2 linked regions of the Neodiprion lecontei genome follow. The protein of the gene in region 1 purifies or fractionates together with the protein of each later gene. This does not show direct contact. Links are inferred from orthologs where the notes say so. Each region holds a gene or a part of one and is shown on either strand. Other genes may lie near its edges. The genes, in order: coatomer subunit beta' and coatomer subunit zeta-1.

Evidence for each region.
Region 2: the proteins of coatomer subunit beta' (region 1) and coatomer subunit zeta-1 fractionate together in Homo sapiens (co-fractionation; 6 studies listed by BioGRID and IntAct, with this or other methods). This does not show direct contact. The link is inferred for Neodiprion lecontei from reciprocal best matches to the Homo sapiens genes COPB2 and COPZ1.

Annotation. Positions count from the first base shown.
Region 1 is NC_060263.1:41,043,867-41,048,852, forward strand, and holds the start of coatomer subunit beta', read right to left. Parts: upstream 3,221-4,986; 5' UTR 2,880-3,220; coding exon 2,877-2,879; intron 2,471-2,876; coding exon 2,119-2,470; intron 2,012-2,118; coding exon 1,073-2,011; intron 943-1,072; coding exon 707-942; intron 576-706; coding exon 237-575; intron 125-236; coding exon 1-124. UniProt on the Homo sapiens protein: The coatomer is a cytosolic protein complex that binds to dilysine motifs and reversibly associates with Golgi non-clathrin-coated vesicles, which further mediate biosynthetic protein transport from the ER, via the Golgi up to the trans Golgi network.
Region 2 is NC_060264.1:32,063,703-32,067,755, reverse strand, and holds coatomer subunit zeta-1, read right to left. Parts: upstream 2,301-4,053; 5' UTR 2,184-2,300; coding exon 2,166-2,183; intron 1,869-2,165; coding exon 1,623-1,868; intron 1,430-1,622; coding exon 1,296-1,429; intron 1,126-1,295; coding exon 1,035-1,125; intron 892-1,034; coding exon 844-891; 3' UTR 714-843; downstream 1-713. Other genes in the region: heat shock 70 kDa protein 14, read left to right, coding at 2,413-2,478, 2,680-2,760, 2,926-3,359, 3,439-4,053. UniProt on the Homo sapiens protein: The coatomer is a cytosolic protein complex that binds to dilysine motifs and reversibly associates with Golgi non-clathrin-coated vesicles, which further mediate biosynthetic protein transport from the ER, via the Golgi up to the trans Golgi network.

The sequences.
Region 1 (4,986 bases):
ATTTCTGTTGACTACTAGCTTCTTTTGCTAAATCATGCGCCGTCCTAAGGTCACCTAGTGCCAAAGCCAATTCGAATCTATGCTCTGGATCCGTAGAGACTGCCAGCGCTTGTTCTTTGAAACCCTGTGAAAAAATTTTGGATTAAAGAAACTCGACTCTGCTGCTTCTTTTCGTTGTGCATAGTAATTGTGAATTAAGATTTCTGAGCTTGAGAAAAAACGAATGAGAGTATTACTTGTTTCTCCAAAAAGTGAGCCACTCTGGTGCGATGCTCTTTTGGTACAGTTGGCAGCACTCTGTCAGCGGTTTCAAAGTCTTTTCGCATAACTGCGGTTTGGTATTCCAGTACGGATAGCAAGAGAGAGTATGAAACCACGGAGAGTTCCTTGTCACATAGGTAAAGCCTGTTGTCTCGTGGAACATAACCCAACAGATACATCGGCCTGTCCAAATGTGATATGGTGACGACTTCGCCTCCGACAAAGTAATTGATTCGATTTACGCTGTTGGTGTAAATGAAGCAGTCGCCTACCCAGAGACCGGTTTTCACTGCCTCACTCATTTCCGCGACCATCTGAAAAGTTTGTATTCTCATTTAGATAAATTGACCATAATTACGGTACTTGGAACATCATTATAATTGGATATGATTAATGCTATTGTAGCATGAGGGTGAGGTATTGATTAAAAAACGTGTGAACTTACCTCGAATGCATCTTCGATATCTTCAGTGTTTTCTGGCAGATTATTAACAGCATCTGCATGGAATTTTAAAATAAAGTATTGATCGGCAGTCGCTAGCGCTACCAGTGATGCGTTCTCTGCCCAGTAGACGTGCGTCGGCTGAATGTCGATGCGGCGAATCAGCTTTAAGGAATCCCAATCAAAGAAGGAAAGACCAGAGCCGGAAGATACTCCCAGCATAAATCCACCAAAGATGCCTAAAACAATAGGAAATTGAACGTATAGGAGTAATTTTGGGATTATTCAAAGTATATAGTCGTTTATTTTACTCGAGGTCAGTGAGATTACGAAAAATCTATCCATAGCTGATTCAAGGCGAAAACTTACCATCGGCCCCAAAATCGGGTTTGAAGCTTTTTCTTTCTTTGAAATTCTTGAAGATTTTCACAGAGCTTGTTCCTTCTCTAACAGCATACTGACTCGAATCAGCAGCCCATACAAATTCCGATGCCTGTCCGAAAGCCTTGTTTCTCAGAGCCATCGAAGTGTAAATAATGTATTCACCATCCCCGCAAACAACCAAAAATCTCCCATTTGGATTGTGTTGTATAGTTTGCGGGTAAATTTCGCACGCTCCCATATCTTTGACAGCCAACGGAAGCCGCTCTCCATCCTGGGCCTCTTCTCCCAGTGCTTTTAGGTTTACTTGTTGCACCTCGCTATGTCTTGCCCATACAATTTTCCCGCCCAAAGAATCCATTGAAACGGCAGGCTCTTCTCTACCGACTTTGACCATTACGCTACCCTCGTCATACCCTAAGGCGACGTTGTTAGATCCCCGCATGCAGGAAATCGTCCAAACTCTTTCAAAGCCGTAGTTAAGTGACGACTCTAGCCTGTATGTACCAGCATGCCAAATTCTAACTGTCCCATCTTCTGAACCGGTCAAAACAATCGGCAGCTCTGGGTGAAAGCACACTGCAGATATATTCTGTGTGTGTCCTTCAAGGGTTTGGACGCAGGTTTTATTTTGGTAATCCCATATCTTGACGTACTTATCGTCAGCTCCGGAAATAAGGTAAGGCTTGTCACCTCCGTGATAATAATCTACGCAGTTCACACCCTTCTCATGTCCGTCGAGGGTGAAATTGGCTGTCGATGAACCGAGCTGCCAGACTTTTACCGTGCGATCCAGAGATGCGCTGGCAAATGTGTTGTTGTCCTTTGGATTGAACACAATTTGCATGACATAGTGGGTATGGCCCTCGAAGACCTGCTGGCCGAGCCAAGCTTTGTCCCAGTTCCATAATTTTATCAGCATGTCGTCTGTAGTTAAATATAATAAGGTTATTTTGAACATTCAATGATTTCATCTACATAGACTTCATTAGTCAGTTTAAGTGACATAAAAAACTTGATGAAATAATACAAACCACTGCTGGTAAGGATGAACGGTTGGGTGGGATGAACTGCGATGGATCTGACATAATCGCTGTGTGCTTCGAACGCATGAACACGTTCCAATGTGTTGTAGTTAAAAACTCTAACTTGCATATCATCAGAGCCAGTGACGACCCAATTTTTTCTTGCAACAAACTTTGCTGTTCTGACAGGTAGGTCGCAGACTTCGAAAGTCTTTGCCAAAGTCTGTGACTCGTGATTCCAGATGTTGACATTTCCCTGGTATAACGAACACAGCATCCATGGCTCAGATGGATGAAGATCGACACTCTTTACTCTGTCTGATCTCGCCGTCAGCTTGCGTTTAATGTCTAGTCGCAGCGGCTACAATTGAAGAAGTTACATTACAAAAAAACGAATGACGCCGGTATTTGAAAAACGGCTGGTATGGCATCGAACACAAATTTTTGCAGCTTTCAAGCGTCAAGAGGTCGTACAGGGGATTTATTCTTAATCATTAGATAGGTGAAATTTGGTGAATTCCGTACTTGAGATTTGTTTTTGTTTTGGGAGTGTTTATCATAAATTGAAGAAAGATTTTGAAATCGTTTTGCAGGTGCGAAAATATATTCAGTTGAAATTTATAGCGGAAAAGCTGTCAGAAAGGTTTGACGTGTGAAGTGCAGAAAAGATTGCGGTGAGGGGTTTGTCAAATGATAATCGGCTAGCATTGGTTCGACGGCTTATAAATACATTTTATAGATACAAACTGAACCATTATTGAACTTACCATGTTTGATGATTGTTGTAATTGTTTCGGTCTTTAGAACAGGGATTAAAATGTCAAATGAAATATACTTATTGTAAACCTAAACACGAAGCCGCTGCCATGAAGTTAGGACGTGGCTCGAACATGGCGCATCATGTAGCAGACGGTTTTACTTTCTGATGAAATGATACAGATTATTCGATAAGATCAAAACGGTTTCCAAGCATCCACAGGAGTGAAAACTGTGATTTTTATTCACCATTTACAATATTGACGAAATGTAATCTTCATTTGCGTACGTTGCTCAGTTAGAGGGAATTATACGTGACATCGAGTGCCGTCGTGGCCTTGCGCGTGCGGCTATATCGAAAATATCGAATCATATCGAGTTTAGGTGGATTTGCTGTGTCGATTTTTTCAGCATCGATTGGGACTCGAACGGCTCACTTCACACCAGTCACAGTGCGCACAAGGGCAGCCTACTCCGCTTATGATCCGCTTGCTTCAAGGCTCTGTCGCACTTTGCTATGGTAACACAGATTTCTGCCTATATATAGAAGTCTGTGTATGGTAAGAATATACTCTGTCACTCAGTGCTTTCGCGACGCCAACTACGGTAGAAGTATGGGTGGATAACCGACCTGCACTTGCCGTGCAAGTCATCTGGAAAATGAATTTCAAAAATCTATTTTACGTCAAAGGGCGTAGCAAATGAGGCATACGCGAGTGAAACTGGTTTACGTACTCACTCAGGATTCTCTTTGCGCGGATGATTTTTGTCGGCTAGTAAAGACTACGAGATTGTAATTCTAATATTCAGTTGCCATTTTAATCGGATTGTCACGACAAATTTGACGGATTCTTATCAGGCAGGCCTACATTACCAACACTAACAATTTTGATTTTGAATCTCGAGAGTAGCAAATTGTTATGATGAATGGCATGCTCCGCATTAACGACTGTTTTTCCGATGGTAAGTAAGCGTTAGCTATCTGATATGCGCCAATCATCAGAAATGCTTTCAGCTAATACGAAAAACCGGTATATAGCAGTAGTCGGTAGACAAATTTATTGAACGCCAGATTGCTGGCAACTCAACATACGTTAATACGTATACTTTGCATATGTCTTGGAGTATCTACCGGCAGTTTCTATCACTTTGGTAGTTAGACGACATTATCTATTTTCGCTTGATTGTAAGACAATTAGAAAAAAAGCCAATAAGAAATCGCACAAATTACAAAAGAATTTTAACGCCCGTAGTTTTGTAGTATAAACGGATACGGAAAATGGTCGTCATTTTTGCGAACGTACATATATGTCTACAATCTAGAAATACAGAATCATATCCACCGAATTTCCCGCACAGCCTGAAATTTAAAGGATGAGGATATGCCTCGTGAGATGCGATTCGATTTTCAGCAATATCAAAAAAGTTTGAACCAGTTATGAATTTAAGATTGTTATTTTGATGATTAATTTTTTAAAATCAGTTCGGTATCCTTCGCAGTACGGGTGCATTGAAATCGTGATCGGACAATGATGATTAATGATCCGTTGTTACTTGATAAAAACTATTTATGTAAACTACTGGTTCGCAAATAGTTGCTTCATTCCTAGATCGAACAATCTCAAGATATGCAAAAAAATACGGCTAGAGTGGAAAATCACGTCTTTCACACAGAATACACATAAATATTTTTATGTTGTAAGCATTAGAGGTTCTCGCTATGTTTTTGCGATTTGTCAAATTATTTTTACAAAACTGACCAACGAATACGTTTGATGTCAAGGCATATCGATGTGTCGTTGAAGCATTGCCAACATTTTCAAAAATAATATTTTCCAGTATCGACACAAAACATGTTTGAAAAAATTTCTACCGTTAGATTTCGAAGCGGATATTTTAAGCGGGATTAAATGATTTCAAAGCACCAAATTGGCGGTAACGCGAAATTGAGTGAAAAAAGTTATGCAGTTTCTCTTACTGCATCAGTGCTCAGGTATTTATGTTAAAAAATGGGAAATTTGATCGGAGATGAGTCTTTCATTCTCGAGGGATTTCGAAACGCTTAACCGATCACATCCCGATCAGGTGCCTCAGGCTAAACAACGAACATTAGTGACTATC
Region 2 (4,053 bases), on another chromosome or scaffold:
TCCGTTATCTCGAGACAAGAATACACCGTACATTGTTTACGTCCCAGAGATGATGGCTATATATGATATACCGTTTTAATTAATCCTGTTTTTTACTTATTCCCACTTTTATTTCTATTATGGACATACCTATGTGTTACGGAAGTATCACAGACAACCGTGCACCGATAATGGTTCCACCTGTAGGCACACCGTTTCCAACGTCTCCACAAACTCGTTCTGTGCTTTGTCGGTAACTATTGATAGTAGCAACTGCAGGCTGCACGATGTGATTTAGTCATCCGGTCATCGAGCTTATACGCTCCTCCAATGCTCGGATGCGTGATTGGATGAAGAGGGTCCCAGTACACTCTGTTTCTCTCGCTCTGCGCTGTGATTGGCTGAATCGCGTTTCCCCATCCAATCACGGCACAGGACGAGAGAGAAAAAGTGTACCGGAATTTCCTTTATCCAGTCACGCGTCAAGTATTTCGTCATGTTAGGTGCCCGCAGCGCTCTGCTGGTGGCTGTGAGCCAGAATTTTAAAAAAGGCTAAATCTCTGATTCAAATTTGACTGAAACGAAAATAAATAATTGACGTAAACTCAGCTTTGCGATCACGTAAACTACAATGCATATTCGACTGAAAACCGGGGCGTCACATGGATGTAAAACTGAAAGTTTTTCCTCATTCAATTTCATGTGACGATACTTCATATAATCAATTTTAACGATTTATAATCATAGTCGTTGCTAGTTTATTCACATAGTTTATTCACATAGATCATGTAATATTTTTTTTTTTCACTCACGTCACGTGCTCAATTTTTTACTTTTTCTTAACATTAATTTTATAAAATTAAATTACTTCAATAACGACCATTTAAGTTGCTCTTTTGCTGACTGTATAACCTGTAAGATTAAAATGGTTAGATATTAATTACAGTCTAAAGACAAGTCACGATAGGATTACACTGAAAGATCGATATTTCATAATATAGGAAAAAGAGACATGGTAGAAAGTGAAGACTGAAATAAGGGGTATACATTCTCACCTGTGCTACCGTTTGCTCGCCAAGTGGAATGTCGTCTGTTCGCAGTGCTACCCGTGTCACTACGCTACTTGCGTCGGCATCCAAAATAATACTAAATAACAGAAATATCTTAATTTGTATGAGGAATAATTAACCATAAGTTGAGCTCGGATTCAATTCATATGGGTTTCGGAATTTTTTTTTATGTAGTGCAAACTAGCTTTACTAGTTCATACAAATATTTTTCAATCATCTGGAAATCCAATATCTCAGAAAACTTACCCATTATCGCAGATTTCATCCATAGCCAGCATCACAATATCCAGACTATCAAGCACTGCTCTCTTTTCAACATTCTTTCTCAAAATTTGACTTATGGAATCATATAAGCAATTCAGCACGCTCATAAGAATTAGCTGTAACGTGAAATGATTTAAAAATCTCTAATTATAGTTTAACAAAGAATTATTCACTGTCAAAGAAGCTAATGATAAATCCTGACCAGTTGGGTTAGTGAAAATCCTATTATTCGCCAACATGAGCAGCTAGAAGTAGATATTTGCATTGTTCATTTACAAAAAGATAAGAACAAAAGAAAACATGACAAACCTCGTTTTCACGAGAGCTGCCCATTACATAGAAGAATAGATCGACATTGCTCTTATAAACACACGTCAGACCATCCAGCATGATAATTTCTGTGTTAGCTCTGTGTGTCTTGTTGAAGAGATTTTTCTCAAAGGCTTTCTGCTCCTTTGAAGTTGGAAATACATTCTTGTCGTAATACTTTGCCAGTATTCTGTTGCCATCATTATCCAGTATCACCATACCCTTGACGGTGTATAGTGAGGGTTCCTGATAAAAAAAGACACGTCATTATAATAAGATTGTTCAACGAAAAGAATGGATTCATTGGAAAAAACAGATGAACCAATTAAATTTGACGAGTAACGTCATTCGAAATAAATTAAGTAGAAATTCTTAGGTTAGGTTAGGTTAGGTTGAGTCGAAGCGACACAGTCAAAAGCCGTCAAATATTCGACGACCGTACATAAGTGGTCAGGAATATGACAGAGAACCGTCAGCCCGTCGGATGATTGTTCGATCTTAAATAATAGGTTGGAAAAAGACATATTTAAATAGTAAACGTACCAGCAACTGATCGTCCATATTTTCGCGTAAAAGTCAACGGGCAACCGCTCTGTTTACGTGTCAATTTGCTCGATTCGGATTTCAGTTCCTGCGTTCCTTTGGTTATAATTTGCAGGCTACTGTCGATAAAAAGGGTCGTAGCATGTTTTGATCGGCATCCGTGATCTCGCAGAAAGTCGTAACCACAGTGTCGTAACTGATCGTGAACCGAATCCCGTTGCTTCGTGCTTCTACAGAATGTACAAACATGGCATCGGTAGCCGCATTCGGTCTTTATTTAGGAAACACCTCAGCCTGTTTGGCGATATTTAAGGTAAATTGTGACTGGATAATTTCTAGCATAACTGGATATTTTTTGACGGGCGGGAGGCGCATTTTCGTCTCATAATAACCAGTCAGTTCCAACCATTTTATCACTGGAAGATAACCGCATGTATGACACATGGACGCGCTGCCTCGTTCTAACCTAGCCAAAACGTCACATCAATAACCCTGATTCAATCAATTTTCACAGGATGACAACGTTGACGTCGTCGCAAACGAAGCCGGCGAGCGAGTCACCGCGGCTGTGGTCGCCTTCAACGAAACCGAAGAGGTGAAACTCTATTTTACGGCATATCTATAACATTTTTAGGTTAGGATCTGCTCTCGCATCCTTTCTTTCGCTAGTTTGCCTTGAATTATTCGCTCCCCTGCCACTAGTGTTTTATAAATTTATCCTATTGCAGCGTTGTAACGTCTATCCATTACAATTTTCAAGGTGATCGGCTTGGCGGCCAAGGCTGGACTCTTCAGGAATGGTCCGGTCTCTGTATTGAACAATAAGAGATTAATGAATAAAAACATTGACGAGACGGAGCTGGAGTTAGCAGTAAAGAGTAGCACCTGTAAAATAATAACAGAGAAAGACACAGTACAATATTTAATAAAGAGGAATGAAAGGATGGAGAAAATACTTCCCGTCGAAGTTGCAACTAGAATATTCGAGGTCATGTACAGTATTTCCACTACCGCAGCACATGATGACAATGAGCACAACGTCGTACTTTGCGTTCCGCTCAGATTCAGTTCTGCTAGCATTCAAATGTGGAGCAAATCTGCCTCCTCTGCTGGGTTCAGAGTTCTACAAGTTATTAGCGAACCTGCTGCTGCGTGTTTGGCCTATGGGATTGGTCAAGACAGAAAAGAGTCAGGGTTTGTAGTTATTTTCACAAGCCTGAAGGCTCGCTCCCAATTGTACAAGGACCTTGTTATCATTAATTTTATTTCACAGATACGTGCTAGTCTACAGAATAGGAGGTGTGAGCAGTGAGATCACATTGGTCAAAGTAGTCAGTGGCATATACCAGATTGTATCGACGTCGTACTACCACGATTTAGGTGGTAACAAGTTGACGAAAATTTTAGCTGAATATTTGGCAGGCGAGTTCATGAGTAAATGGAAATTGGATCCAATGGAGAGCAGGAGATCAATGTCAAAGTTGAATATAGCCGCAGAGACGTGTAAACATGTTTTGTCGACAATGTCGACAGCGCACTGTTTTGTAGAATCTTTGTGCGACGGAGTTGATTTTAGCTATAATATAACTAGAGCTCGTTTTGAGAACCTGATAAATTCAAACATATCGGAGTATATTGCACCCGTCGACAAAATATTAAAAGAAACAAAACTGGGCACAGATGATATAAGCAAGATTATACTCAGCGGAGGTACAATGAAGATTCCAAAACTTCAGGAGAAAATTGGCGCCCTTTTCTCTAACGGTGAAGTGTGCAGTGGAAAATGGAGCCCTGACGAATGTATGGCGATAGGTGCGGCTATGCAGTCAGCCCTTCTGCTTTCCCATGGAACATGGGATGAGAGTTTACAATCCACAAACATGGAAGT